Linked DNA regions of Danio rerio. The protein of the gene in region 4 purifies or fractionates together with the protein of the main gene of each other region. This does not show direct contact. Links are inferred from orthologs where the notes say so. Each region holds a gene or a part of one and is shown on either strand. Other genes may lie near its edges.

Region 1 (4,571 bases), on a different chromosome or scaffold from region 4:
AGTGTGCTATGCTTCATCTGTAAACCTATCAGAGCTTGTAGAAATGACGGTAAATGCTTATCTCTTATTGAAAGAATGAATGTTTCTGTTAAACATGGCTGTTCACTTTCAGAAGTTGTAGTGATGTTCTCTTTTCCCTGAAATCATATGAAATATTTCATTGATTTGATATTTTTAATAAAATATTGCATTGAATTATTTAGAATGCTTAAATCTTTTCTGTTCAGTATCACACAGCACTAATGGTAAGCGACCTACAATTTGGCACCATATTGTCTGTTTTTGCTTTATATTGACAAATAAAATAATATAACTTTATAGTTTAGGTTATGTAAACTGCAGATTTATGGAACAAAATCAAAGTATTGTTAAAAAAAACAAAAACAAAAAAAAAACGTATTGAATAGCACAAACTGAAACAAATAATATATTAAATTAACAACTGCTTGCATTTTAATGACTTGGATTGCCAGAGTTTGTAATTTTAGGTCTTGAAATTTAACACAGCTGTTTATTTAAGCTGTAAATATTTCAATTAAAAATTTTTCAAACACGTTTTTATACTTGAAAATTCTTATACTTATTTTATACTTAAAAATAATAATTCTTAATTTCCGGATTTCATGTATAATATTCAAAAGACAATTTTCAACTCACTTTATTTCAGTTCAAAAGTTCTCTTCCATTAATTTAGTGGATCAAATTCGGCTGTTAAAATTTAACAAGGACAATATTAAATGCTACTTTTGTGCTGTTATTAGCTTTTTCCCTTAAAAAGGGAGTTTTTAAACCTTTATTTAATGGTTTAAAAATCTTAAATTGGTCCACCTGCTAGTGAAAAAGCAGCTGGAGATTGCCAATCTGCAATCTATTGCTGTTCCTGCAGTTCCCGGAAGTAATGTCGAATTTTAAGAGCCAAATTTAAACCACTGAATTTTTGGAAGCAAAATTTTAAACTGAAAAGTAAACAAACTGAAAGTTAAATTTTGAACATTATGCTTCATATTTTTCACCAGTATTATATATTTAAAAATTGAACTTTTAATATATATATGAAATCTGGAAATTGAATATGAATTGTTGAAATTTTAAGTATAAAAACATGTTTAAAATATTTTTAGTTGAAATATTCACAGCTTAAATAAACAGCCGTGTTAAAATTCAGGCCCTAAAAATACAAACTCTTGCAATTCAAGTCATTAAAATGCAAGCAGTTGCTTATTCAATGCATTATTTTTTTTCAGTTAATGCTAATCAACAAACTTTTTATTTCAATACTTTTGCCATTAATTTTGTTCCATACAGATTAGGCACACATACTAAACTTGTAATTCAATTTACATTTTTAAATACAACTATATACAGCTAAATTATTAGACCACCTGTAAAATTCTTAATTCCTTTTCAAATATTTTCCCAAGTCATGTTTAGCAAAACAAATATTTATATTTCTATTCTAAACTATTACGTTTTAACTTATATAGAATGTCTCATTTCTTTATTCTGGTGGCATTAAAAGAATAAATTTCTTAAAACGTTACGGTCGATATTTTTCACCCCCTTAAGAACTTCTTATATTCGACTGTCTACAAAACAAACAACTGCTGTCAAATGACCAGCCTAATTGAGCTAGTCAATTTTTTAAACAGGACTTTAAGCTGAATAATAGTATTTTACAAAATAACTAGTAAACTAATAAATAATTAATAATACTAACTAATAAATAACTAATAATAAATAACTAATAAATATTATGCACTAGAACTACACGATATTGAACAAATTTTATATCCTTCTTTCTTTCTTTCTTTCATGCTTTTATTAGAAGCACTCATCATCCAAAGAAGAAATGTTTGACAAATTAACAATCTATTTCAACAAGAACAACATGTTACTTACTTTAGAAATTTAGCATATTCTGGTTCCTTCCAATAAAGCAGATACTTTAAATAATTGACGAAAGGCTTCTCTCTCAGGTAACCTCTCTGAGCCAGAACTGCAGGATGGGGGGAAAAAATTAAGATTAATAATCATTATCCATCTTCATATTTCGACCACAGTAACAAAATTACCTTGAATTTACAGAATGTAACAACCAATGAGTGAATTTGACCAATGACTAAAGTAATGACTGAATTTAGCGAACAGTAAAAAAGAAACAAGAGTTAACGTTGTTCTTACAGTTCAGGTAGTTTGGGTTTGCCAGACATTGAACAAACTCCAGCTCCAGCTGAAAGCGCTGTCTCGCCTGCTCGTCTGTCAAAGCACAAATAGAAGCGTAAGCAATGTTTGTGTTTGAAAAGAAATAATACAAATAATCATTAGTAAATGTATTCATGAACTACCAACGAACAATACTTGTATTAGTGCATAATTAAAATGCAAGTTCATGCTTGACATTAGTTGATGCACCGTAAGTTGAGATTACTTTATTTCATTAATACTTTTAACAAAGACGAACAAACACTGTAATAAATATAACGATTCTTGTTTGTTCATGTTAGCAAACATTGGCTAACGACGATACTACCTTAATGTTAAGTGTTACAGAAATTGCTTGAACAACATATATCTGCGCCAGTACAGAAAATAACACATAGTGTAGTACCTCTAAAACGTTGTATAACTTAATATGATCAAAACGAAACTAAAATACGTTACCAAACAATTGTATTTACGTTAACTGTCACATTGCTAGGAATCTCGTGGGCAAAGATGTGCTAAATAACAATTCAATCTAATTTTAACAAACCTGTTTCCATAACACCAGCCATTACGGACAACGAGAATTCAGACGACGCTGAAATATCTGGAAAATGATTAGTATAAAAAGATTTTTTAGAGCGCGATTACCAAAAACAACACATTACTCATTGTTTATGCGGACATAGACCGCTGACGCCATTTTTGCCATAAAACCAGTGCTGCTGTCGTAAAAGTGTTTCACGACATTTGCACCTTTTTTTTAAATAATAAAGAATGAAAACTTACAACCACAATCAGGAGATCAATATAAGAGAGATACAAAATAGGAACAATACAAACTACATTTGTAAGGGGTAAGTAAATTACACTTGTATAAAATTGTATAAAAATAAATTAATTAAGAGCTATTTAACTCAAATCAGAGTCAACAGTTCTTCATGTAGAGCCAAGTATCTGACACATTTTTTGTTGTTGTTACACGTACGCAAAGATTTGAGCAGGAGTCAACTTTAATGAGAAAATGTCGAAAAGTAGGGACTGAAACAATGCATATTTGTATAAAATATTTCCAAACAAGATAAAAAGTTGAAAACAAATTCTTCAGATTTATTCTGAGTAATAACAAACACTTTATTTTAAACTAAAATATTGTGCAAAGGTAGGAGGAGTGTTTAATAACGATAAAGGTCAAACCAAAATTTCTGAACAAATTCACACATACAAAATAATTGTATTAAAGTTTCATCATCCTCACCACAAAATGTACAACTACTCGGAATATCAAAATGTTTAGAAACAAATAAGTAAGCCGAATAAAGTTCAGGCAATATTTTAAAAAAGTATTTATGAGGCATTTGCACCTTTTTTTTTCGTAGTAATATTTGTAGCCTACAAAATACATTTTGTGACTTGGAATATAAGAAAAAAAAATCTATTTTCCATGATAATTTGGTTAAAAAGGTGTTCTATTGGTCTCACAGCTTAAAAGATGAAGGATATTTACTGACTTATAGGCTACTGAATTTTTTTGAGAAGTTTAGTTCCTGTGCCTCCACAAGGCCTGGCGGGGCTTTTGCAGAGTTACAGTGAACCAAATAAACTAACAGTTAAAAATGAGATTTAATTACATGGTGTTGATTTCAAAGATAGAAAATGTAATAATAAATTTTGTAGACGCTTGATTTATTATCTTGCCACTTTTAGACACAAATACTTTTGGAATAATCTGAGAATATCTATTGGAACTTGATCTGGACTTATAACAACAAGTATTGTGTCACTAATAAAGTGAAATTATACATAAAATATATCCAACCAACCAATTTCTCAAAAGATGATCAAAAGTTGATCTTTCTGAATTTGTGTTTATTTGCGGAGTGGATGTTGAGACTCTTATGCATTTGTTTGTTGATTGTATATATGTTAAATATTTCTGGCTTTATGTTGAATGTCTATTTAATATACTAAGTGGTCACAGAATTAATTTAAAGAAAAAGAGATGTCAGATGCGTAGATCAAAAAGATATAGATAAGAATCCCCTGTTAATGTTAAATCTTTTGATATTATTAAGTTTCATATACACAAGTGTTATTGTTCAAAGAGAAAGCCTAACATTTTTCATTTCAAAGCTGATTTAAAAAAAATATTTTTATAATCTTAAAGGATTTTCAAGTCATAAAGCAACTGTGGATCTACTCCAAAAACAAAACTCCTCTTTTTTTATGGTAATTGTAAACCCGCTCTTGTTCTTTATTTGCTTTTTCTCTCCTTCTTTCTTTCTTTTTATTTTGCTAACAGATTTTATGCTAAAATGTGAATATCCTATTATAAAATGTGTCATGCATTTGATTGAAAATGTTCAGTA
Region 2 (3,882 bases), on a different chromosome or scaffold from region 4:
TGTATCACAATATTGCATAAAGCTGCTTTATAAAAGAAGTATAAGTGTTGCAAGATTTCACATAATTATCTAATTGTGACTTTTCTGACTGATATTGTGATTTAATTATGTGAAGTTTTAGCGCGGTATTCTCAATATGAGAATAAATAAACGCACACAGTTAAAGTCAGAATTATTAGCCCCCCTGAATATTTGTCCTCCCCTGAATTATTAGACCCCCTGTTTATTTTTATTCCCAATTTTTGTTTAATGCAGAGAAGATTTATTTCAGCACATTTCTGCACATAATAGTTTTAATAACTCATCTTTAATAGCTGATTTAGTTTTCTCTTTGCCATGATGACAGTAAATATTATTTGACTAGATATTTTTCAAGACACTTCTATACAGCTTAAAGTGACATTTAAAGGCTAGTAATTCTGACTTCACCTGTGTATACAGGAATTAAAACATTGTAGTTTTTGATAGTCAGGGAGAAGAGATGTTGTGTGAGCTGTAAATGTGCGGTGTGTGTGTTGGTGTCCTTGCAGGAGTCTCATGAGCAGTGTGTGCAGTGGATCGTGCGCTTCATTCATGGTCAGCACAGCCCCAAACGCATCGCCTTCCTCTACGACTGTCTGGCCATGGCGGTGGAGACCAGCCTGCTGCCACCCAGGTACACACACACACACACACACACACACACACACACACACACACACACACACACACACACACACCATATTGCTAAGAACACTAGTAGAAATGCAACTCAACCCAGGACAAACAGCATGGTCTTTTCCATTTCTTAACAGTTAAACTAAAATGATTCAGACTTTAACCTCAACTAACTCCTATCCTAACAAAGCGTACATCAGCTGAAAGATGAGTTGTTCACCCTGTATAAATCTCAGTGTTAAAAAAAATTACACTTATGACTAGGACTGCACGAAATTGGAAAAATCTGACGTTGTAATATTTAGTTTCTCTGCGACATATATTGTGATATGAATACAATTTTACCAGATGACTTGACTAGCTCTATTTGGAAAAATTCATAGGTTTAAATTGATTGGGCTGATTTTATATAGCAGGGCTCGAAATTGCGACCATTTTGGTCACATATGCGCCCGAAAATTAATCTATGCGACCTCATAATGTATATGGGAGCATTAGTGCGACTGCTGATAATGGTTGTAGTGCGACCTATTTTGATTTTTTCTAAAAACGTGCTGAATCGCTCTTCCCTGCTGCCGCTATATTGGTTCATATTAGCTGTCAATCACGCAAGGTATTCCGCTGTCAGATGACAGGGAAGGAACTTTTATAACCACGGGAAATGCAAACGGCTTAAGAGTGAAGACTTAAAGCACGCAGGTTTGCAAACCCCACCTAAAGTTGAGGCGCAGATGAGAGATCATGACGTGGTAAATATTGATCCGCCAGCTGAGATCAATCGAGTACGTGCTTTTCGGAGAAAGCGATCGAATCTCGATGCGTTGCATTCACTGCGTGTTCAGTGCAAATGTCCGCTAAAAGTCAAATCTAATACTGTACATATCATCACCAAAGAAGCTCGCCTTTACTAAGTTTACACTAAAACTGTGGCTCATAACAAACAGCGGTAATCCGCCGGTGGTCACCGCAAGAATCCTGCTCAACCTGCTCATAAATTGGGTCGGCTGACTCGCCTGCTTTTCCACTAACACAGAAAAAAAAAAATCAGCTCAGACTGAACCTTTAAATTTACACAAACTGAAACTAAAACTTAAGAGTGATAGAAGTGAGACTTTACTTACTTTCTTTTGTCTATTCGTTCTTGAGGTGTATATATATATATATATATTTTATTTAGTTACTGATGACTGTTTTGCAGCTTTCAGCCTTGAATTTAATTATTTATTATAATCTTTTTTTTTTTGGTAGCAGAAATATTATTTATTAAACTGACATGCATATATAAACAGCAGTACAAAATAAATATTTCTTACTGCAGTGCTTAATTTTTGTTTGATGCAAACTATACATTTGTTTTTCATAAAGTAACAGACTTTTTATAGCAGAAAACTTGCATTCAAGCACATTCAAGGCAGCATGATGATGACAAATGTAATTCATTGTTACTATTATTGTCATTTTCATCATCATTAATATTTTATATTTATTCACCATTCATTTTGGAATTATTACACACAAATATCAATGTCATCTCAGCAATAGTTATAGTTGTTTCTGTTTTTTGTTAGTCCTAATGGATGTTGTTTTAAAATACAATAAATCCCTTAAAATACAATTTGCAGCGGTGCTTAATCATTTTTGGTGGGTGCTCCTAAATTTTTTCTGGTGCTCCTAAATATTTGAAGTTGGGAGCACCAGTGCTACCAAGTAAAAAAGTTAATTTCGAGCCCTGTATAGTAATAAAAAAAATCTACAGGGTAGGGTGGGCCATTTATACGGATACACCTTAATAAAATGGGAATGGTTGGTGATATTAGCGTCCTGTTTGTGGCACATTAGTATATGTGAAGGGGAAAACTTTTCAAGATGGGTGGTGACCATGGTGGCCATTTTGAAGTCGACCATCTTGGATCCAAATTTTGTTTTTTCAATAGGAAGAGGGTCATGTGACACATCAAACTTATTGGGAATTTTCCTGTGTGAATTGTAGCCTTAGTTTCCTGTTAATAGCTGAGCGAAGCGGCACCCGCTGTGGTCTTCTGCTGCTGTAGCTCATCTGCTTCAAGGTTGGACGTGTTGTGTGTTCAGAGATGCTCTTCTGCAGACCTCGGTTGTAACGAGTGCTTATTTGAGTTACTGACTATGTTTACATGGACATCAGTAATCGAATTATTTGCTTTAATCTAATTAAGACAATAATACGATTAAGGCGTTTACGTGAGTTGCTTTTTGAATGTTTCTTTCATGATCGCGTTTTACATGTTATAGCACATACTTAGATTGACGTCATTGCGTCACCGCACTATCCGCATTTCCTCCAGAGTTTCATGTAATTTCGGGTGTTTCATTATTAATTTGTCAACTTTAACTGCGGTTTGGCACTTTCACTTTCCCTCCGTGATAAAACGGATGCAACTATGAGCTGCTGGAAGACTGTTGTTTTAATGGAAGTTCATACCGCATGCTGAATGGAAGAAAAAAAAAGCTCCGCATTCCACGAGGCAGGTGTCTGTGGTCTGCACTGACTCGGTAGGTGCAAAGAGTGTCAAACAGCCATGTGTGTGTGTGTGTGTGTGCGTGTGAGTGCGCCCTACATGACGGTAATAATTCGATTAAGGTGTTTACATGTCTGTAATGCACTTTAATAATGCGACTAAAATCGGGATACTCCACATGTCTTAATTTTATTTGTCTTTAGTTCGATTATGACCTTAATCGAATTAAATTAATCAAAAATAGCTGTTTACATGGTCGACTCTTAATCAGGGTATTGTCTTAATCGCATTAAAATCGAATTATTGGTGCCCATGTAAACGTAGTCACCGTTGCCATTCTATCAGCTGGAACCAGTCTGGCCATTCTCCTCTGACCGCTGGCATCAGCAAGGCATTTGCGCCCACAGAACTGCCGCTCACTGGATATTTCCTCTTTGACGGACCATTCTCTGTAAACCCTAGAGATGGTTGTGTGTGAAAATCCCAGTAGATCAGCAGTTTCTGAAATACTCAGACCAGCCCATCTGGCAGCAACTACTATGCCACATTCAAAGTCACTTAAATCCCCTTTCTTCCCCATTCTGATGCTCAGTTTGAACTGCAGCAGATCGTCTTGACCATGTCTGCATGCTTAAATGCTTTGAGTTGCTGCCATGTGATTGGCTGATTAGAAATTTGTGTTAACAAGCAGTTGGACAGGTGTATCTAATAAAGTGGCCGGTAAGTGTAT
Region 3 (3,882 bases), on a different chromosome or scaffold from region 4:
AAATAGGTAAATTTATTTATACATTTAAATCAATAATATTAGTCACTGTGAAAATGTATTTATTTTTTGCCAGTTTAATGAGTATCCAGAGAATTTTCCAGATGTTTCTTAAATAGCTATTAACAGAGGTGCAGATTGTTTGGGGTTATAGAGAATAGAGATATAAAATAATATCATCTGAATGAAGAGAAATACTATGGTTCATTTGACCTATTTTTTGGGGCAAAATCAAGGGATTCTTTTTTGATAGCAAGGGTGAGGGGCTCAATTTTAAAAAGCAGTGATGAAAGAGCACAACAGGTGCCTCTATGTGACTGGAACTGAGATGATCAAGTAAAAAGAAAATCCTTACCCAAAAAAATGCATATGTCACCCAAATTAGACTCTCTAATCACATCACAAGATATAGTCGCACTCCATTTGGTCAAATGCTTTTTTTGCAACCAATGCAAGAATTGAAAGACTGATTTTAGAATCAGATTTGGTGTACAAAATACTTATCTGCCTGACATTAAAAAAAATAAAAGAAAGAAGAGAACATAAAAGAAAAACAACCAGGAAAAAATCCAGATTGGTCAGGATGAATATTTTTTCCTAAGCAATAGTTTAATCTATTAGCAAGTATTTTTTTTATTATTATTATTTTTTAGAATTAAATAAATGTTTGCCGCATGAAAGGGATTCGGGGAGCCTATGCTCATTAAATTAATGGTTAAGTATCCTTAACAGCAAAGGGGATTTTTTTAATGAAAAATTTATACTAAAGCCATCTGGGCCAGGTCATGTAAGATTTGTTAAAGGAATATCAGCCCTGTTTTTAATTTTTTTTATGGATAGCACTAGTGGCTTGAATTACCATAAGCTTACAAGAAAGCAATTTTTAAGGTGTATCCCCAATTTCAAATTGCTTTTGTTTAACTTGTAACAACATATTGTTAACTTGGTTAGAAAGAATTAAATTATATTCCACTTTGAGTGTAGTAATTTCTTTAAACCTATCCAAATCTAAAGAACCCCTGTATATATCTAACCGGTTATCAAATTCTACAAGACGTTTTCCCTTTGTTTCTTAAAACTGGACTCATAAGATACGTTTCATCTTAGAACTGCTTTTAAGCTTTCACATAACAATAAACTGGGAACCTCACCGATGTCATTGAATTTAAGAAACTCAGCAAGCAGCTCTGTTAAATACAAAGCCAGGCTTAATTTTGGCTAGATCTACAGAGATTGTGACTGCAGAATGGTCAGACATTGATGTATTATGATGTTTCATTCTTTTAACACAAGGAATAGTTTTGGACTAAACTAAAAAAAAAGTCTATCCTGGAATATGATTTTTGGACATGTGAAAAGAAAATATACTGTTTGTCCAACGGGTATCTTAATCTCCAGATATTAGCAAGAACCAAGCAGTAAATGAGATCTTAGAAAACAACAGTAAAATTAGAAAGAGGTATCTGAACATAATGGAAAACTGTCAACGGCAGGATCTAAAACAAAGATAATAAAAAAAATAAAAATAAAATCACAGCCAATAATCCAATTTGAATTTAGTGTAGTTGGTCAAAGATCAATGATATTGCTAAAAATTCACACACATAGACCTCATCAACTCAAGCAACATCCACACTCAAGGCCATATTCTAACGATGTGTTCACACAAGATGCAGATCAGATGAAGAGTTAAGCATTTAATTCAATCAAATGACACAACGGAAACTGAGCATTTCAGTGTTTGGTCCTCTTAACGTGTAATTCCCACAAATCTCTCAAGTTCACGCCATGTTAACCAATCACGCCGTGTTACCCAATCAGGAGCTTACTCTAGTAGTGGTGCGATTATGAAGTACTGCCTGTAGTTGGTGTCCTGAAGGAAAATCCTCCTACCGACACGAGACAACAGGTCATCAAACTGGTAACGGCTTGGTCAAAAGTGTTATGATTAACTCTTCTGTCAGTGTGTAGTCAGCACTGCCATAGAGATGGCTCCCTCACCCCAATCAGCACACCACTTGTGCCGATCAGGGGACTGCTGCAGCTCACTGAAAGAGGAGTACACAACTGATGCTGTTGAGGCAGATGGCCGGCATGATTTCATAATGAATCCTCTCCCATCCCGACCCTTGAACGGTACCTCACTACGCATGAATCCTGGACTTTCTGCACTGAACGCACCACCCTATACTTCCCCGCGCACATAAATAGCATATAATGTATGTATCATCATTACAAAAACTGGCAAAGACTAGGCTATAGCCTCTTTCACACATACAGAGGTTGTATGTGTGAACAGGTCCTTTTTGAAAATACCGGTAAATTCGTTCTGGCTATTTTCCGGAAAGAGAAGTTTTAACATTACCGGCAATTTGCCGGAATGCTGCGCTGTGTGAATGCAGAAGGAAGATTCACGTAATAAGCGCGTGCACGTCTAGAGCGTGCTGACGTGAGACGTCTGCTTTAGCCAATCACAACAGTCAGACGCATTTACGTCCGCGCGGTTTGTGAGGATAAAAGCCTTTGAATATTTTTCCAGACACATTTAGCTGCTAGAAGTTAGTCAGATCACGTTTATATGTTCTTCTTAATGCCAACTGTGTAAATAATCATCGATGAAATGCTTATGATAAGCCGTTGTTTGTTTACCTTCAAGCTTTGCGTGCGCCTATGAGCGCCTGCACACGCACATATTATGAACATCTTGATAAACGAAAGTGATCCTGCGAAAGTTGTTCACAATATTGATCATCCACAGAGTTTGTAATTTAGTCAAATGTTTACAAATACAAGTGCAGCCATTTAAAGCTCATTTGTGGTGAATGATGTCAGAATTTACCGGTATTTTGGAATGGATGCGTGAATGCTCTTTTCCGGAAATTTTCCAGAAATTTACCGGTATCACTGTGTGAAAGGGGCTAATATCCTTAATCCAATGACGGAAACTAACAAAATCGTATGTGGTTACCTTGTTTAGCTCGATACATTTCTTGAAAAGTACACTGCAAATTCAGAAAGCGCAGGGTTTTTGCAATGTGCAAAAATGGCTATACAGATTAAAAAAGTGCAAATAGAAGTTTTCTTTTGCAAACACCTACAGTCACACATAGTATGAAAGAAACCCACCTTCCTTAATGCAGGCCTTTTTAACGCAACTGCCAATCAACGTGTTGTAAGCAGCCTGATGTCTTATAATGTCAAGGAGAGCAGGCACCTGAGCAGGATGTCTGAAGGGAATCTTGGAAACCAAAGCTCCTTGAAGAGACCTTCCATCTTGTACTGGAGCATCACCATTTAGGAAATAACAGTGCTGCTGTCCTGGTAAAGACTAATTAAATAAAAAGACAATTCATGGAAAAGGTTAAAATGATGTACCATTTTTAATGTCACGGGATTCAAAATATGACAAAACATAATATGTGTGCAGTTTTAATTGACTGTTTAATTGACTGGAAGCATGTTCTATTCAGAATAAATTGGCAGTTGATAAATCGGTTTAGATGATGAAAGACTTAGTCCTTAGTCTCTGATAAGTTTTTATTTATACTGTGATTTTGTCTCGGATTTAATCAACTTGCTTTATCTCTAAAAATGGAGCAAACCACCTATTAAAAAAACAAATGTAAAATTAAAATAATGGTTTACTTGTAGCTAGAGGTGGGTGACGATTCTACTTTACTGTGTAGGATGTAATTTCATGGTAACAATATATTTCACAATATAGTTTAACATAGTATTTAAATAAGTAGCAATTTAGGAAAATCAACAGGAAAGGTTTTATATTATAAATAAATGAATACATCAGAAATGAAAGGAACTTCATTACTATTTCCATTGTATGTGGACTATAGTAAATAGATTAGATTATAGTAAACTAAATTTGGA
Region 4 (4,661 bases):
AAACTCTAAGGTAACAAACGCATTAGAAACGGCAAAAAAAAAAAAATCATTGAATACAAATGAATAAGCAACTATAATTTTATAATCCAGCAACTAGGGTTGTGAAATTGATTGAAATCGAATTGAAATTGCACACCTAAATGGTTATAAGAGATGCGTTGAAGGGATTATATGCTGCCTCCTTAATTTATTCTCTTAGGTAAGGACCAAATTTAGAGGGAAAATGTGCTTTATGCAATATAAATCTTGAAGCATCAGAATTGGTTCACTGTAATGGCTGCAAAAATCCTGATAGAAGCATCCCTGGAAGTCAATAATTGATTTGAATTATTTACCCTGATTTGTTTACTGCTCATAAATCTTGTAAATGTTTCCCAAATTAAAATATATTGTGTTCAAAGGGGAAAAAAGTTTTTAGCCAGACATTTAAAAATAATATATTTAGAGCAGTAATCACAATACTTTTAAACTGTGCTATTTTTATACAAGTTTATCATACATCAGAAAAATATACTGACCCATGCCTAGAACGTAGACACTTATAATCAATAGTACGAAAAAAATCTATTGGTTTCCAACATGTTTCAAAATATCTTCTTTTTGTGTGCAACTGAAAAAAAATGTTTCTAACAAGTAAAGGTTGAGTAAACGATGGCAGAATTTTATTTTAGGAACTATCACCTACTTCATTTTAGTGAAACATGACCTTATTTCGAATTCTCTGCATGACAAACACAATGATGCAACATTTTATCTACATAAAACAGGGGTTACCAAACTTTTCAGCCAGCGTCCCCCAAAATAACAAAGCCTGCAACATTGAGGTCAAGTAGGTTTTATATTCGCACATTCTGACTTCTCCTTAATATTATAATTTTACAAAAATATTCTTTGCAAAATCTAAATGGTAATATCATATTAGCAGCCAAAGACTATCAAGAAACAACATTGTTCAAAGTCATATAAATAGTGCTAATGTTGTTTTCAAGTAATAATTGCATGTGATTTCAGACCGAATATTAAAATTTTGATGGTAAACACTATAGGGAGCATGTCACAACAAGTTGACACTTTCCCTCAATGCTCATGATCCCCAGATTCATCGGAGGTGGTTATAAATATACAAACGTTGTACACACAACAATAGGCCTTGTTAAACACGAGCATATTGACAACACAAAAAACTGCAACAGTCTAACAACCATAGGCTATAATTTATATGGTCATTTATGAATGTGTTTAATACTAACCTCACCTAATGAGACCGGTGTTTTTAAGCACAAGTCTGTTCTTGGTTTAATTTTGGAGACCAGCCTGTCAGTAGCCTGTATATATTTTAATGTATTCAATTGCCACAAAATTGTCAGAGTCAGAGATATGTCAAGATCAAGGTGGTGATATGAAATCAATCTGCTGCAGCTGATGCTATTACTGTTGTGTTCATCTAAAATAAACGCACCAATCCAACAAGAAAAAATTAAAAGGCTGATGGCTTTTTATTTGCATGTTGTTGCTTTTTTATGTAACAATAACCTACTATTTTTATCTTCTGTGGGTTATGGTTAATTACGGTAATTCTAATAGAAGGTTTCACCAAGTTAAATTGTAGACTTTAAGACATTTTTAAGACCATTATGAATGAAATTTTCTCTAGCCCTATCAAAAATGATGAAAATTGTATACATTTAAACATACAATAATAATAATTGTGTTTTATTATTTTTGTATTAATTGTCAAATCTATCCATTCACAAACCCTATAACCCTTACCAAGAACAGAACAAAACATAGCTGTCAATTACTTCAGTCTATAGTAATAAATAATAATAGAAATATGTAGGCCAGGTCAGTATCCTCAGCAGTAAATAAATGGAGAACTTTTAATCAAATGTATGTTACTGTAAAGAAAGTAATTAAATGCTATTTTTAAATTAAAAGTTTACGTTTAATTGATGTGGATTGTTGGTGATTGCATTGATGTTAATGGCTAGATCGGTTAACTATACATGAACAAAGAAAATTAAGACCTGTTAAAATAGATTTGAGACCTACAAAACACAACATTTCAGTAGATTTAAGACTGTTTAGGGGCTAAAATTTTGCTTTTGACAATTAAGACTTTGCGGATATCCTGTAAGAGTTTAATAAATTTATTTGACTTTTGGAAATCCGCAAGCGACACCCTGTCATTGTCCGGCGAACCCCACTTTGAGAACCACTGACATAAAACATGCATCAACATCAGAGCCACTAATACCAGGAGTCAATCTGTAGCAGAAATGCTCCATTGAGGCTTCGGGTTTACCGGTGTAAACAAGCCTTCGTAAAAAGTATCTTCGTCTTCATCATCACGAAGAAAAAACCCACAAATCAGCCGCACCTGTTCCCATCACAACAGCACAGCCTCGTCAATCACAACACTTGTGCCTGCTGCTGCTGACGTACATCCACAATCCCTTCAAAATAAGCCTGCGTTTAAACCGTGAACCCTGCATATCAATCTCACATCAGCTGCCGTGTCTCTCTAAAACCCCGAACCAATGGGCAAAAGCGCTCGGTGTGTTTTGGTTGTGTTTCAGAGGTCAAAAACGCGACGGGAGCGCAGGCCTCATATCGCTGCATTTAAGTCCGTCGTGCAAAACTCACCCATCTTTCCTCTTCGCTTTGTACACATGGCCATAAGTCCCCCGTCCAACTTTACATCCTTCGTACTCAAAGAGGTCCTCGACTCGTTCTCTCTCCCCGGTGAGCTTCACTTTGAAGTCATAGTCCATTTTCGGCGTGATTCTGGGGATCCGGGCTGTGGCTTCCCTTTAAAGCGCCGCTGGGGAGGCAACTTACTTCAAGCCCCGTTTAGACAATTAGTTGCCTTCCCTCGCGTCGCTCTGAGCTCGATTAAAGAGTCCTCATTTACCGCGAGCGATCACGGGCGGCTGAAACGACGTGTAGAGCGAGTGTGCTTTTGATCCGACACAAAGTGCAGAGTGTTATTGGACTAACAGTCGCTTTCTTTGATATTTCTGTGCAACTGCGCCGCTCAGCCGGTATCTCACCCGGGAGAGTTGAGCGTCCACGTACGGCAGTGTCGCAAAGCGTCGTGAAACCGTTCCCAAGCCCACAGACGTCGAGGCTTTGTGGCGCACCACGTGGATTTTAACCCTTTGTTTAGGAATGGATTTGTTTTTCAGTTTTATAGCATGTTTTGCATTTTAACCCTCTATGGCATGATTTTTAGTTTTAGGAGGGAAAAATGGTTTACCCTTATTTTTGGGTGCTTGGGGTCCCTTGTAATAAATCAATCATAAAATGTGCCCCCCTACATTTGTTTTGCATGTTCTCCCCATGTTTATGTGGGTTTCCTCCAGGTGCTCCAGCTTCCCCAACAGTCTGAATACATGCACTATAGTTGAATTGAAAAAGCTAAATTGGCCGTAGTATAAGTGTATGAATGCATGAGTATATGGGTTTTTCCCGGTGTTGAGTTGCGGCTGGAAGAGCGTCTGCTATGTAAAACATATGCTGGATAAGTTGTTGGTTCATTCCACTGTGGCGACCCCTGAATAATAAAGGTTCAAATTAATTAATAAAAAAATTATTTAATAAATCTCAACAAGTAATATTTCATCAATATCTAGCCATAAATGGTGTAATGTGTGTTCTTGTGGGGTACTGATTGAATGTACTTATTTACCAATGTTTATTATTCACTGTGGAACCTTAGTGCAGTGGTTGGTGCATGTGAAGCAAAGGGGACATAAGAGTGACAATAAGAGTGTCTTATAGACTATTTGAAAACAGCATAATTAAACAATTAAAAATTTCCCTAAGCTGATTTATCATATAGTAATTATAATGTAAACTGCCTCACCATAATCAATATAACAAATATTGAAAAAAACATATTGCAAGTAACTTTTAAAAATCATGTTTAATTGCAAAGGTAGATATAAACATCATTGCAAATAAAACGCACCCTCAATCAAAAACGTACTGTTTAAAAAATTACATAAAAATGGTAAAATAATGATTAAATTTTTCTGCATTAGGAGTGAAATTATCTTTGTGATCCAAACCATGAATATATGCAGAAAGAACCTAATAATAAGTTTAATAATACTGATATTACTATACTACTACTTACTAATAATTTAAAGAATAATAATAGCTTAATACTAATTTGCAAAAAAGGCTAAAAGGCATTTCCAAACATCAAATCATCAGTTGAGATGAAATTATCTTTGTGATGCAAACCCTAAATATATTTAGAAAGAACCTAATAATAACTTTATTATTACTGATGCTACCACTACTACTAGTAGTAATCTTAATAATAATAGCTAAATACTAATTTGAAAAAAGTCTAAAAGGCATTCCAAACATCAAATCAATGAGTGTGATACAGCTTTAAATTGTATTTTTGTACAGCAGAATGTGTCATGTTTAACTATATTTCTTTTGAGCAAAAACAAAACAATAAAAGCGATGACTATTATTTATACTTAGTCTATCATGATTTACAGAAGACACACACTAAAACGTAACTCGTTGTATAATAGTTTATATACACATACTGTATATTGGCAGGCATATTTACAGCAAAAATCATTTAATGGCATAATAAAATACTAATAAAGTTCAAAGTGTAGTGTGATCCCTGCTGA
Region 5 (4,372 bases), on a different chromosome or scaffold from region 4:
TATGATATTCACGACTATGTAAGTCTTATGATCCCTTCTTTGCTAATAAAGGACTATAGGGACATTCTAAGCACAGAATGAGTCATCTGGGTGAGGTAGAGTTCCTTCACATCTCACATCTCCAATACTTTGCTTTCCACCAAACACAATTTATCTACTTGTGATCTCCTTTTATGTCATTCTGTCACATTAAGTGTCATTTGATGTTTTCTAATGAATGATTAATCTACTAATGTTTAGTTATGACCCGAGGATAATATTGCATACTTTATAATGCATATTTACATCTCCCCCTCTTTATCTCCTCACATTTCAGCTGGTTTTGGGGAATGGTATTTCACTCATGCCTAGAAATGTATCTGTTGTTCTCTGTCTTTGCTGCATAGCAGAGCAAAAATCAAAACTAAGCTTTTTTGTATACATTATGTTTAGGGTAGCATATCATATTGTTTGAGCATCAATATCACAGTGTGTGTGTCCGCAACAGTCAAATTGCAGGATTAAATTATTTATTAAAGAGTTAAAGATAAATTATTAAATATTATTTTTTAATAATTATTGAAATGATGACCATGTTATTTTATGCTTGATTGTTCAATTTCTGTACCTGAAATACTGTTAAACTTTCCAGAAAATTACAAAGTATGGTTTATTTAACTTTTTTTCTGGCTCTATTGTGTGTGTGTGTGTGTGTGTGTGTGTGTGTGTGTGTGTGTGTGTGTGTGTGTGTGTGTGTGTGTGTGTATATATATATATATATATATACACACACACACACAAAGAGTTTAGAAACAAAAACCTCTAAATACTGTCTGAAATTGTCCTCTAAAATGTGCATTTTTAATCAGGCTCCTGTGTGTATGTTCAGTAATACCAATTTTATGGCAAAGAACAAGACCTTTTCTTGGTCTTTAAAGTGAAATATCTCAACATAAACAAAGAAAGCTGAAAAAAAAAATTCAAACTTTTGATAAACATTTCAGACGGCACTCAGAGGTTTTTCCATCTGAATATATATAAAATAATTTATGTATATGCAGTGCATAGAAAAAGACCTGATCATCATATTATCTAAATGAATAAAATCTTTCTAAATAGAGCTATTCAATTCACCTGGTGAAATTGTACTCTTATCGCTATATATATTACAGAAAACAAAAAATATTGCAATGTCTCATATTTTCAATATTGTGCAGCCCTAATAATGTTGATATATTTCATTCTACTGTCTGTATATTAAAACATGTAACTTAACATGAAATGTTCTTTCTTTTACAGCTTTAAGATTATCTCTCTTTATCAGTGATGTTAATAACTTTAACAGTGTTTGATTAATTATGGTGGAGTCAGACAAATAATTGATTATTACACACCATCCTTCAACTGCTTTCTGTTCTGATAATCTTTATAAATAGTGCTGTGTTCAAAGATTTTTCTTGTATTTACATTTCAAAAAAAGTCATTTTAAAATACCTTAAGCAAGCTGATTAAACCCTCAAAAGCAGATTTGTGATTTCATAGAACAAGTTCAAGAACTCACATTTGCTCCCTCATCTTTTTGAAGTCGTCAAAGAGCTGCAGGGCCACAGAAAGACCCTCAGCTATAAGACTGCAGCTCTCTGCTCCACCTCCCATGAACCTGTGCAACAACAAAAAAAAACTGTTAAAACTGTTCTCAGTATTTCAATCACAATATCTTTAAAGCAGACATTCACTTAAAACCTTTATCCCAGACTTCCTGACATAAAATAGGATTACAATGGGATTCCTTACTGAATGCTGTCAATCCAAGACACAAACTCGAAGGCAGAGCTGGTTGGAGCATGGCACTGGACATATGACTCTGGAGCACAATCCACTGTGTTGAATACCACCAGTCCATACTGAGTGCCACCATACTTATAAAACAAACAAGATCATCAGAATTGAGATGGCAGAAATGTAAAGAGAAGGTATAAACAGACTCCTCCAACTCACATCTCCTCCAAAATCAGTTTCAGCCGGTGGTCCTCCATTAAAATACCTGTAAATATATTAAATAAGTCAGTTCAAGTGTCTAACAAATGTACTGTATTGTAATGAATGTCATAAATCTTACTCTATAGTAGGCAGTATGTAATTATTCCGAAGTGATTCAAAATATGGACCAAGGTTTGCAGTTCCTTCAATGACAAACACCACATCTGACACCTGATTCAACCCAGATTTGGACGTGGGGTCCATATGGGTCACCTTTGGTCTACAGCCAACACAGATATAAGATCAAACTCATATAGAAGATTTGCTGGAATAAAACGAAATATTAATGTTTTATAATGTTTTATTGATGAATGACTTTATATTGGTGTTATTTGCTATTATTTTAACATTATTTCCATTCTAAATGCAAGTAAACCAAACCAAGACATACATATTTGGCTGTCTTAATACCTAACGTTAGTAATACACATAAACAATTTTTTTTAACTGAATCATTCATTATGTCCGTGCCAAAAAGCCTAAGAGACTTATTTTAGATGTGATATATTTGTCTTATCATTACCTAATTAACGAGTAAATTCTTAAAAACACAATATCAATACAAATAAATTAAAATGTAAAACGTGAACACTATCCATTCATACAGGTCTTAGCATGCTAGCCGCTAACCTCAAATGCTAATTTAGCTCGGGTGTCTTACCTGCTAGAATTAGTAGAACTGGCTTTTACTGTGAATAAAACAAACCGGTTCAGTCATTTATCTTGATTATATCCGAACCAGCCCCTGGTAGTTTTATTGTGTATTAAAGCTTCATCTGAAAGTAAATGTAGAGCGTAATGACAACAAACATCGGGATTTTTGGCTCGGCAATCGACAGTACGGTCTGGTTTTAGATCTTGAAAGTGGACTGGGCTGGTGAATCGATTTATGAATGATCAATTTAGAAACCAACAGCAGCGACGTCCTTTTCAGTCGTCATTCTTTGTTATTATCATCCTTATTATAATCATTGTTATTTTTGCGGTTTAAACACGGACATAGCCATTGTATTGTTAGATAATAAAAAAATAAAATAAAATAAAGCTTAAGAAAGTAAGTGGCTTCGTCGATGATCATAACAAATTGCATCATCTTTATTATTATCAATGATTATCATTACAAATTATTGTTATTAATTATTATTATTATTATTTAAAAGTTTTCTGAAACAAAATGGGCATTTTAAGGAATATATTTAAAATTGCCTTAAATAAATTAATTATTTAAATGTTTTCAATGATGGTAAATAATTATAATCAATATTATTTTAAGGCATAATAATAAATACAATTATTATTAATTATTATTACCAATTATTATTATTGGTGATATATCATTGATATTATTCTTATCATTATTATCTATTATTATTATTATTGTAATTATCTAAAGGCTTATCTAAAATGACCATAATTATTTTAAGAAATAATAACAAGACTTTTTTATTGTTACCAATTTTCTTTATTATTGTTGTTGGTATTAATATTAACTATTATCATTAATTAGAATTACCATTTTTATTATTATTATTATCATGTATTCTTTTTCTTTTTCTTCTTCTTATTATTATTATCATGTTATCTTCTTCTTATTATTATTATTATTATTATTATTATTATATAAAAGTTTTTTAAGCAAAATGGGCATGATTCAGTTTAAAGAATCGGCCTATAATCAAAATCATATTAAATAAATTCATTATTTAAACGTTTTCAATAATAGTAAATAATTATAATTATTATTATTATTTTAAGGCATAAAAATAATAACAACAATTATTATTACCAATTATTATTATTGTTGGTATATCATTAATATTATTCTTATCATGATTAGTTATTATTATTTTTCATTCATTTATTTTCTTGTCGGCTTAGTCCCATTATTAATCTGGGGTCGCCACAGCGGAATGAACCGCCAACTTATCCAGCAAGTTTTTATGCAGCAGATGCCCTTCCAGCCACAACCCATCTCTGGAAAGATCCACACACACACACATTCACACACACACACACTACGGACAATTTAGCCTACCCAATTCACCTGTACCGCATGTCTTTGGACTGTGGGGGAAACCGGAGCACCCGGAAGAAACCCACGCGAACGCAGGGAGAACATGCAAACTCCACACAGAAACGCCAACTGAGCCGAGGGTTAAACCAGCGACCTTCTTGCTGTGAGGCAACAGCACTACCTACTGCGCCACTGCTTCGCCGCTATTATTTTTATAATTATCTAAAAGCTTTATGAAATAAAATGAGCATGATTCGGTTGAAAGAATATATTCAAAATAGTATTAAACAAATTCATCATTTAAACTTATTCAGTAATAATAATTATTATAATCATTGT
Region 6 (4,513 bases), on a different chromosome or scaffold from region 4:
AGATTAGACAAACATACAGAAAGATGGAAAGACAGACAGACATAGACAGACGGAGGGACAGACAAAAGATTAGACAAACAAACAGAAAGATGGATAGACAGAGACATAGAAAGATGGACGGATACACAGATGGAGGGATAGACATATGGAGGGATAGACAGAAGGACAGAAAGATGGATAGACAGATGGCTAGAAAGAGAGAGATGAAGGGATGGACAAACACAGGATTAGACAGACCAGACGAACAGAAAAATTGATAGAAAAATGGACAAAGATGGAAAGATAGACAGAAAGATGGACAGACGGATGAAGACAGAGGAAGGGATAGACAAACCGACAAAAATGGAAAGACAGACAGAGAGATAGAAAGAAGGAGGACAGAAAGATTGATAGACAGAGGGATAGAAAGACAGACAGATGGAGGGATAGACAAACAGAGGGTTAGACAGATGGACAGACAAATGGAGGGATAGACAGATGGGCAAAAAGACAGAAAAATAGAGAAATAAACAGATGGAGGGATAGACGGACACAAAAATGGATATACAGATGGAGGGATAGACAGACGAACAGAAAGATGGATAGACAGAGGGATAGACAGATGAAGGGATAGACAGAAGGACAGAAAGATGGATAGACAGAGGGATAGACAGATGAAGGGATAGACAGAAGGACAGAAAGATGGATAGACAGATGGCTAGAAAGAGAGAGATGAAGTGATGGACAGACACAGGATTTGACAGACCAGACAAACAGAAAAATTGATAGACAGATGGACAGACGGATGAAGACAGAGGAAGGGATAGACAAACCGACAAAGATGGAAGGACAGACAGAGAGATAGACAGATGGACAGAAAGATGGATAGACAGAAACAGACGAACGGAGACAGATGGAGGCATAGACAGATGGATAGAAAGATGGAGGAACAGACAGACAGATTGACGGATAGTTTGATAGACAGACATATAGATACACAAATAAACAGACAGAGAGACAGACACACAGTCAGTCAGATGAGAGACAGACAGACAGTTGGTAAAACAGGACAGACACAGACAGAGAGAGAGTCAGTGAGTGCAGCATTCACCCAGTCTGGTCGCCGGTGTCCTGCGCTCCTCCTCGGCTGTGTCCTGCAGCTCCTCCTGCTGTCTGCGGGCCTGCTCCAGGATCCTCCGGCTCAGCTTCTCATCCACGAACTCCTGCTGCTCCTCCTGCCCGCGGCCGCGCTGCTTCTGCCGGCCGCTGCAGCGCACTGAGTCCCGCTGGAGGATCTGCTCGGCCAGGGGCACCGCGCCGCCGCTCCAGGCCTTCTTCACCTTCGGCATGATGACGGTTATCAATATTAGTATTATCTGCCTGTCTGTCTGAGGAATTATGAGTGTGAAATCGCGTCTGAACACATGACGCGCCGCGGAGAGCTGCACACACGTGGGTCTGAGAGCAATGGCGCTGAGAGTGTGTGTGTATACATAGATATATGTCTGTAGTGCTGCTCTGAGAGCAGTTGGAGAGATGAGCGCTGTTTTGGAGCGCGCAGAACTACTGATCCCAGAGCGGCGCTGCGTCACACTGTTTACTTCCGCTCGAGGCTCGGCAGATCTCGGCTCTGTTCATTTTTAGCGCGGCTAATGTTTTTATATTACATGAATTTAATGATTGTTAATATTTTTATTTTATCGAATTTAAGTGTTTTACTTTTACTGATTTCGCGTGTTTCACGCAAACTCGAGTGATCCGGAAGTAAATACCCCGGCTTGCGGAAGTTTGTCTCGAAGAAATGGGTGTAACGTGGTGAGAAACACTTTTGTTTATAAAGTATTGTCCTCAAATAATTAATATTTTCAGTTGTGCTTGTTTTGAGTCTCTCTGGTGCTCCTGATGCTCCCGTTCAGCGCTGTTTGAATGCACAGAGAGGCTTTTGCTCCTCATTCATCAGTCTATTTATTGCTTTATACATGTTTACATCACATGTCACTCTTAAAAGTACTTTACAAAACTGTTATTAGTGTTGTGTAGAACACAATGAAGGCCTGTTATTATTATCAGGTGCACGTGTTCATTCAAACTAACATTTAAGATGAAATATAAGGATATTTGACGAGGTTTTCCCGAAGTTTTGTATAAAAAAAAGTGTAAGATTATCAGCTTCATTTACTGCAAACATATAAAAAAACATTTAACAAGTTTTGTAGTTTACAAGCACTCATTTAAGTAGTGTTCAGGGAGTCCGCGGGGTCTTAAAATTTATTAAAGTGCCCATGAAATGAAAACTAGCCTTGTTGTTGTTGTTAGCTCACAGTGCTAGTTCTGTGGTGAATAATTCATCTGTGCATATTATTGAGAAAATGTAATAGTTTGCCCTTCTAATCTTTAATTGAAATCTGAAAATGCTCTTCCTGTTTGTTTTCAGTTAAATTATCAGATGGTGTGTTTTTGAGAGAGGGGTCTGGCTGCAGACCTGGTGCAGATGCAATCTGAGCTGCATCCAATACTTTAAGCTGTGCTTACACTGGGCTTTTCTCACCATAGACTTCATTCATACACGCGAATGCGTCAGACTGGAAACGCAGGGTCATGCGTCAAGTTTCGCAGGTCACTTCAGTGCAAAGTTCAACCTTGGTGAAGTCGGACCTGCGAAATCACATCACTTGACTGCGGGAGACCAATCGAGGATCAACATGAGCTCTCTGGACAGAAATGAAACACATGCAGCAATCACTCGCTTTATTAATGCCTAATCATCTTGTTTAATCCCGCCCCTTTTCGCAGCGCCGTACGGCGGACTTTCGCACACGCAAGCTCTAGTGTGACTGCAGCTTTAATGTGCTCACCTAACCCCACCCCTCAAAGTGACCTCACTAGCTCAATTGTGTCCGACATTGCATCACTAAGAGATGCAATCTCAGCTTGCATCACAAAGGCTGCATCCAGATACTATTGGTTTTAGGCAATGGGCGGGGCTAACATTCATAACCACGCCCCTCCAGCTGTCAGTTTTGACAACAAACAGAAATGCTGAGCTGGGGTCCGTACGTTGCTTAAATGATCTTGATGATTTGGCAGATCCTTGATCTGTTCATCTTGATAACTGATCTCTGGCTAATTTGGTTCCTCAAACAGGTTCGTGAATTAGATTAAAATGTCTGGATGCACATCTGAGATCAGCGTGTGTTGTGAAGGGCAGATTTATCCATCCCCAAAATCATGATCAGCAATGCAGCGATTGGCTGACGGCACAGCAGCGCAATGACATCATCTGATCAATATTCAATTCTCCATGTGAGCAAAATTATTTAAAATTCTTAGTAAACGGTTTGTTAAATATGACACACAATAACTTCCCATGTTTGTTGTGAGCTGCAGGCTTTTTTACACATTCATGTGTCAAGAGTATTCAGCAATTTATTTTATTGTTAGAGCAGATTTTCCTTATTACAGTCGCCATATTAGTATTATAGTAGCCGGTTTCTTAATTGGTATAAAGATTAACAGGATGTTTAAATTAATTTTGCATCACAAAAGCATTTTACTATTGGTAAAGATGTCTGCAACTTTTTTGAAGGCATTAAATCCCAGTCATATTACCGAATACCTGCATGAATGTATTATTCCTTTATAAAAAAAGGTTGCATTAATTTTCTCTTTGATCCACCAGGTGGCAGTATTTGTACTTTTATTTCGGAGTGCAGATTGCATAAGTTTTATTTATATATATTTTAACTTATATATATATATATATAGTTAAAAAATATATTTACTATTTTCCCAAGTGTATATAACTATATAACTACTGTAATAAAAGATCAGAATTCGTTACATAGTTTCAGTATTATCTTTGCTTGAACTGAACCGATCTTATCCTGTTTATATGAAACAAGCTGCTGCTCCCCAGCAGGTTTGAGCTACCAGAACTATTGATAGGACAACAGCTCTCAGATGAGTTTTGAAGAGCGTAACGATCCTGGAACATGTCAAATCGTCAATAACCAAATCCGTTATATAATAACTGAGTAATGCATGTACGAAGAACGGACCCCTGGGGTTTGGTTTTCATAGGTGAATTACTCAAGTATATCAATCTATCTATATAGCTAGATAGACAGACATTACACATATGCACACACAGACTCGCACAATTATTTTTATTATTTATTTTTATTGATGTTTACACTGATCAGAATGATCTTGCTTTAGTAAACTACCATTTTGAAACTGTTTTTAATTGTAAATAAATTAAACGTCTCAAATGTGTGTGTGTTTGTGTCAGTGTTTGTCAGGTGCCAGTGGCCGAGGGTAAGAGCGTCCAGCAGACGGTGGATCTTCTCCACAGGAAGCTGGAGCAGCTGGGAGCCGTAAAACAGGGGAACTTCTGGGTGGACTGTGAGACGTATCACGCTACGGGAAATGCCACCGGTAAAAACACAACTCTTGGATTACTTAAACCAAATTCTGTTACAGATTAAAATAACATGACAAAATGTGTAGTCAGTAATATAAATCAGTTAGATTA
Region 7 (4,349 bases), on a different chromosome or scaffold from region 4:
CCGGTCGGTGAATAGTGATTATTTGCTCTTTGGAGAACAGCGAGAGCATACGCATTCGAGAGATGCTGCGACTGCGAGCTTCCTGTTAATCACATGACCTTTCACACGAAAACAATTTCAACTTTAATGAAATTTAGATTTTTTTTTCTTTTCAGTGAAAATGTTTAAATATTTAAGTACTAAAGCACCGTCAATAAAAATAATTAGTAAAATGCTAATAAAAACTATTTCAGCAAGGAAACGGATCACGACTGGCTGGTCTGAGTATTTCAGAAACTGCAGATTTACTGGGATTTTCATGCACAACCATCTCTAGGGTTTACAGAGAAAATATTTAGTGAGTGGCAGTTTTGTGGTCTTGTTGATGCCAGAGGTCATAGGAGAATGGCCAGACTGGTTCTTCTAACTGATGGAAGAAAGGCAACAGTAACTCAAATAACCACTCATTACAACCGAGGTATGCAGAAGAGCATCTCTGAACGCACAACACATCCAACCTTGAGTCGAATGGGCTACAGCATCAGAAGACCACACCGGGTGCCACTCCTGTCAGCTAAGAAAAGGAAACTGAGGCTACAATTGGCACAGGCTCACCAAAATGGAAAATAGAAGACTGGAAAAAACTATGCCTGGTCTGATGAACCTCGATTTCTGCTGTGACATTCGAATGGTATGGTCAGAATGTGGCATCAACAACTTCAGGCTAGTGATGGTGTAATGGTGTGGGGGATATTTTCTTGGCACACTTTATGATCTGTTATTGTGAACAAAAAAGAAAGAGTGTGTTTAAAGACTGTATAAAGAATAACAAAGTTTATTCCTTGAGCTTTTCATCATAACCAGAAAAAGAAGTCAAAAATCATCAACAATTGGCCCTTGTAAACATCAATCAACCGCACTGGTCCATATCAGATTCTCTAACACAGTTCAACATCACTTCATGTGTGCAAACATACATACAAACAAGCACACTCGCACACACACAACTGTTCTATCTCAGGCTGTTGCTGTTGGGTTGAGATCCAGTAACACCAGGATGATCAGGACTGTGTCGATTCTAAAAGAAAAGAGGGAACAGACCAAGACCTTTTAAATGCATTAACAAGACTAAATGGGGTGTACTTTAAATGTGACAGGTCCCAGCAATAAACAAGTAATTATTCTACAACATAATTAAGGTATCAAGTAGATTCTAGGGACATATTCTACACTGTGCAGACCATCGATTTGATTTTGAATGCCACTAACATTGAGCATTTAATATTGTGTTATAGGGATGCGCAATATTGGAAAAAATATATCTCTGCAATATATTTTACAATATGAATAAAATTTCACCAGATGACTGTCTCTATTTGGAAATAATTTATAAAATTAGATTCTTATAATTACTATTTTTAACATTTTTGGGGTCCTCTGGCACATTTTCATTGTGGTCTGTGCTATTTGCAGTGCATTTCTGTATTTGCATGTGTTGCGAGTATTTTCATGCACAACAATCTATAAATACAATCAAGAAAAAGATACAAATAAAGTGTTTTAATACAAATAAAGTGTGAGTCTAACAGTATTCAAGTAAAACTTGAATGATAAAAATAAAAAATAATTAAAAATTAATTGTTGTTAAAGTCACAAATGGTACAATTTCATATAGCTGAATGTTTTTAAAATCATTTATACAATCAGCGGCATCAAAAACACATGCAAATGTGCGATGTGACTATAGCGAATGATCACATTGTGATATTGATGCTGAAACAATATGTTGTGCAGCCCTAATGTGTTATATTTTAATATTATTTATAAAATGTTATACTGCAAAATACTGTCTTGTTTCCTATTGTGAATAACTTATCAGTTACTTAAATCAAGACACATTTATTGAGAAGCAAGATGTCTAAAGTAAGTTTGAAAATTTATTTAGTTTTAGTAAAAGATAAAAACAATGATTTTATTCAAATAAATTTAAGAAAAAAAATTAAATCACACACACATGCATACGGTTTAAAGCATAAATGAGTTGCAACCCTTTTGGAAAATTCCTATTTTTTTTAATCAATTTCTCTGTGAATCGTCAATATATTTTGGTGTTGTATCAAACTGTTATATTTATTCAAATTAAATTAAATCGCCTAACGCATTCAGGAATAGAGAGACAGAAAATTTGTACAAAAAGTTTCTCATTAAAGGTGCAGTAGGTGATCTGCCAAAATGCTAACCGGTTAGCATAATATCTTAGAAAACAGTCCCACCCCTATTTTTCAAAGCCACGCCTCCTGAAATCACAAACACGCACTGCAAAGATGACAGTAGACAGCCCACTAACTCTTGTCATTCGCCAGTTGAAAAACTTTACAATACTTTATTACTGTAAAGTACAAAATACTGTATTATATCCAGCATGTTTTCAGTCGTGTAGCAAGCAAAACTTGTCATAATGTGCAATATTTCATCCATACAAGGATCGTTGGTCTCACTCTCTCCCACGTTTTGTCCTAAAGCCACTACTGTATGCTTAGTGGTTGGCTGGCGGGTGCAGGAATTACACTTTCGTGCATATAACACATCCGTGAAACAACAGAATCTACATCAGCTTTGTGTGACTTAATAGTTTTAAAACAGAACATGACCTGTCTAAAAGAAATACTTCAGCCATGGTCTCGTTCTTCCTCCAGCATAAAAACTAACTTCAATATTGATTCAGGATTATAAAGTTTTGTTTCAGCATTTGTTTTTACTGGTCGCGCTCTCTCTCATGTGCACGTGAACGCACGTGCACACACAAACGGCAGATTTGCACGAATAGCAGCGCAGATGTACAAGTCTACATTTGTTGACAGACAGTTTGGGCTACTTATCAGAATTATGGGAATTAACATTTTTTAGTCTTATGACTTACCCAGAATACAAAAATACATGTAAATACATTTAGATCATTTAATTTAATCATTACTATAGGAATGTGAAGAGACTTTCAACCTGCACATCAAAAAATGTTTCTGTAGACAATCACCTACTGCACCTTTAATTAATTTGGCTGGTCTCATTTTTAGACCGTGATGTTAAGTCTTTTTGTTAGATCAGTTCCAGTCTTAGCTTTAGTACTGACTAATCTAAAGTATATATGCACAACTATATTAGTGTAAAATATTCATGTAAAAGAGGGCGCATTCATTAAGCTTACACATCCTTTTAAATGTAAAATAAACACAGTTTACTGTTGAAATAATATTTGTGTGAAGCAAAAATGATAAATAATTATAAAGAGCATTGTTCAAGGCTGCTCAGATGTTACACCAAAGCAAAGCTGCTTCCTATGTGTATACATTTTTAAAATTTTAATAACGCATTATTATTTATACAGGAACATCCTGTAGCATTCAACCTTGTTCAACAATACACTTTTTAATTATTGTAAATTTGTAAGATTCTGCGCCGCATCAACAAAGTGGCTCACCTTTTTTTTCTTCTTGTCTTTCTTTTTCTTCCTGCGTTCAGGTTCATTATCTTTCTTTTTCTTCTTCTTGGTGGGGTCAGTGCGGGTTTCTGCACAGGGAAAGGAAGTTAACATGCATGTGGTGCACAGAGGAAATAAAATGTGAAAATCCATGAGCTTTTGAAGTGACCTAGCGGTAGAGGATCCTGAGGGTGATGATGTCTGTGTTTGTGTTTGCTCTTCTTCTTTGGTGGCTGTATGTGCATCAGTCTGTACTGCTCAGGAAGCTGCAACACAAACCAACACTATAAAGATGAAGCTCAAAGAACACATTTAGATTGCTTTAGAAAATATGCTGTCTACATCTTGTTTAAAAGGGGACCAATTGTGCAAAAATCCCTTTTAAAATGGCTGATTTATACTTCTGCGTGATCGCAGTGATCCACGGTGCCTGCCTTGCGGGTAGTCGTGCATTTATACTACTGTATACATGCTGTTTGTGTTGCTCTGCAATAACACTTCCGTACACTTGCTGGCAGTAGGTTATGTTCCTCTGTGTCGAGTATCTTCATGGGTATTTCGTTTTTTCTGAACGCTACAAGTAGCTAAAACTCACTCATTAAGTGGCTGTTTAACTGGGAGAAAAATAAAGTGTCCATTCTAGTAATCTAAACAATGTGAATTTGATATGAATTATGTATATCTATTAATGTTAAAAAATAATTATTGCCATTTCAGAAGACTTCAGGATTAAAAGACGGAGAGTGAAAATAAAAATCTGATGGAAAACACATATAAACTGAGATTTACAAGTGCCACTGGCCTCTTTCTCTGGCTCAAAATGCTTCAAGCCACATTTAAACATTTGCTATCATTGTTCATTTGTAATGAGAGAGATAATAACAACTAAAAA

The links.
Region 1: the proteins of cdk8 (region 4) and med31 purify together in Homo sapiens (affinity purification with mass spectrometry; 7 studies listed by BioGRID and IntAct, with this or other methods). This does not show direct contact. The link is inferred for Danio rerio from reciprocal best matches to the Homo sapiens genes CDK8 and MED31.
Region 2: the proteins of cdk8 (region 4) and med23 purify together in Homo sapiens (affinity purification with mass spectrometry; 10 studies listed by BioGRID and IntAct, counting the BioPlex papers as one, with this or other methods). This does not show direct contact. The link is inferred for Danio rerio from reciprocal best matches to the Homo sapiens genes CDK8 and MED23.
Region 3: the proteins of cdk8 (region 4) and med1 purify together in Homo sapiens (affinity purification with mass spectrometry; 14 studies listed by BioGRID and IntAct, counting the BioPlex papers as one, with this or other methods). This does not show direct contact. The link is inferred for Danio rerio from reciprocal best matches to the Homo sapiens genes CDK8 and MED1.
Region 5: the proteins of cdk8 (region 4) and med25 purify together in Homo sapiens (affinity purification with mass spectrometry; 8 studies listed by BioGRID and IntAct, counting the BioPlex papers as one, with this or other methods). This does not show direct contact. The link is inferred for Danio rerio from reciprocal best matches to the Homo sapiens genes CDK8 and MED25.
Region 6: the proteins of cdk8 (region 4) and med20 purify together in Homo sapiens (affinity purification with mass spectrometry; 8 studies listed by BioGRID and IntAct, counting the BioPlex papers as one, with this or other methods). This does not show direct contact. The link is inferred for Danio rerio from reciprocal best matches to the Homo sapiens genes CDK8 and MED20.
Region 7: the proteins of cdk8 (region 4) and med19a purify together in Homo sapiens (affinity purification with mass spectrometry; 8 studies listed by BioGRID and IntAct, counting the BioPlex papers as one, with this or other methods). This does not show direct contact. The link is inferred for Danio rerio from reciprocal best matches to the Homo sapiens genes CDK8 and MED19.

The regions. Positions count from the first base shown.
Region 1 is NC_133196.1:43,308,337-43,312,907, forward strand, and holds the start of med31 (mediator of RNA polymerase II transcription subunit 31), read right to left. Parts: upstream 2,915-4,571; 5' UTR 2,775-2,914; coding exon 2,753-2,774; intron 2,257-2,752; coding exon 2,182-2,256; intron 1,997-2,181; coding exon 1,900-1,996; intron 1-1,899. UniProt on the Homo sapiens protein: Component of the Mediator complex, a coactivator involved in the regulated transcription of nearly all RNA polymerase II-dependent genes.
Region 2 is NC_133195.1:2,665,670-2,669,551, reverse strand, and holds part of med23 (mediator of RNA polymerase II transcription subunit 23), read left to right. Parts: intron 1-530; coding exon 531-655; intron 656-3,882. UniProt on the Homo sapiens protein: Required for transcriptional activation subsequent to the assembly of the pre-initiation complex. Component of the Mediator complex, a coactivator involved in the regulated transcription of nearly all RNA polymerase II-dependent genes.
Region 3 is NC_133187.1:16,873,870-16,877,751, reverse strand, and holds part of med1 (mediator of RNA polymerase II transcription subunit 1), read right to left. Parts: intron 3,326-3,882; coding exon 3,124-3,325; intron 1-3,123. UniProt on the Homo sapiens protein: Component of the Mediator complex, a coactivator involved in the regulated transcription of nearly all RNA polymerase II-dependent genes.
Region 4 is NC_133199.1:25,393,317-25,397,977, reverse strand, and holds the start of cdk8 (cyclin-dependent kinase 8), read right to left. Parts: upstream 3,100-4,661; 5' UTR 2,775-3,099; coding exon 2,647-2,774; intron 1-2,646.
Region 5 is NC_133178.1:29,272,651-29,277,022, forward strand, and holds the start of med25 (mediator of RNA polymerase II transcription subunit 25), read right to left. Parts: upstream 2,860-4,372; 5' UTR 2,681-2,859; intron 2,285-2,680; 5' UTR 2,224-2,284; coding exon 2,099-2,223; intron 2,024-2,098; coding exon 1,978-2,023; intron 1,899-1,977; coding exon 1,774-1,898; intron 1,640-1,773; coding exon 1,541-1,639; intron 1-1,540. UniProt on the Homo sapiens protein: Component of the Mediator complex, a coactivator involved in the regulated transcription of nearly all RNA polymerase II-dependent genes.
Region 6 is NC_133197.1:573,776-578,288, forward strand, and holds the start of med20 (mediator of RNA polymerase II transcription subunit 20), read left to right. Parts: upstream 1-1,554; 5' UTR 1,555-1,780; coding exon 1,781-1,794; intron 1,795-3,123; exon of another isoform or gene 3,124-3,282; intron 3,283-4,270; coding exon 4,271-4,416; intron 4,417-4,513. UniProt on the Homo sapiens protein: Component of the Mediator complex, a coactivator involved in the regulated transcription of nearly all RNA polymerase II-dependent genes.
Region 7 is NC_133189.1:26,390,629-26,394,977, forward strand, and holds the end of med19a (mediator of RNA polymerase II transcription subunit 19-A), read right to left. Parts: intron 3,724-4,349; coding exon 3,627-3,723; intron 3,547-3,626; coding exon 3,458-3,546; intron 1,058-3,457; coding exon 992-1,057; 3' UTR 799-991; downstream 1-798. UniProt on the Homo sapiens protein: Component of the Mediator complex, a coactivator involved in the regulated transcription of nearly all RNA polymerase II-dependent genes.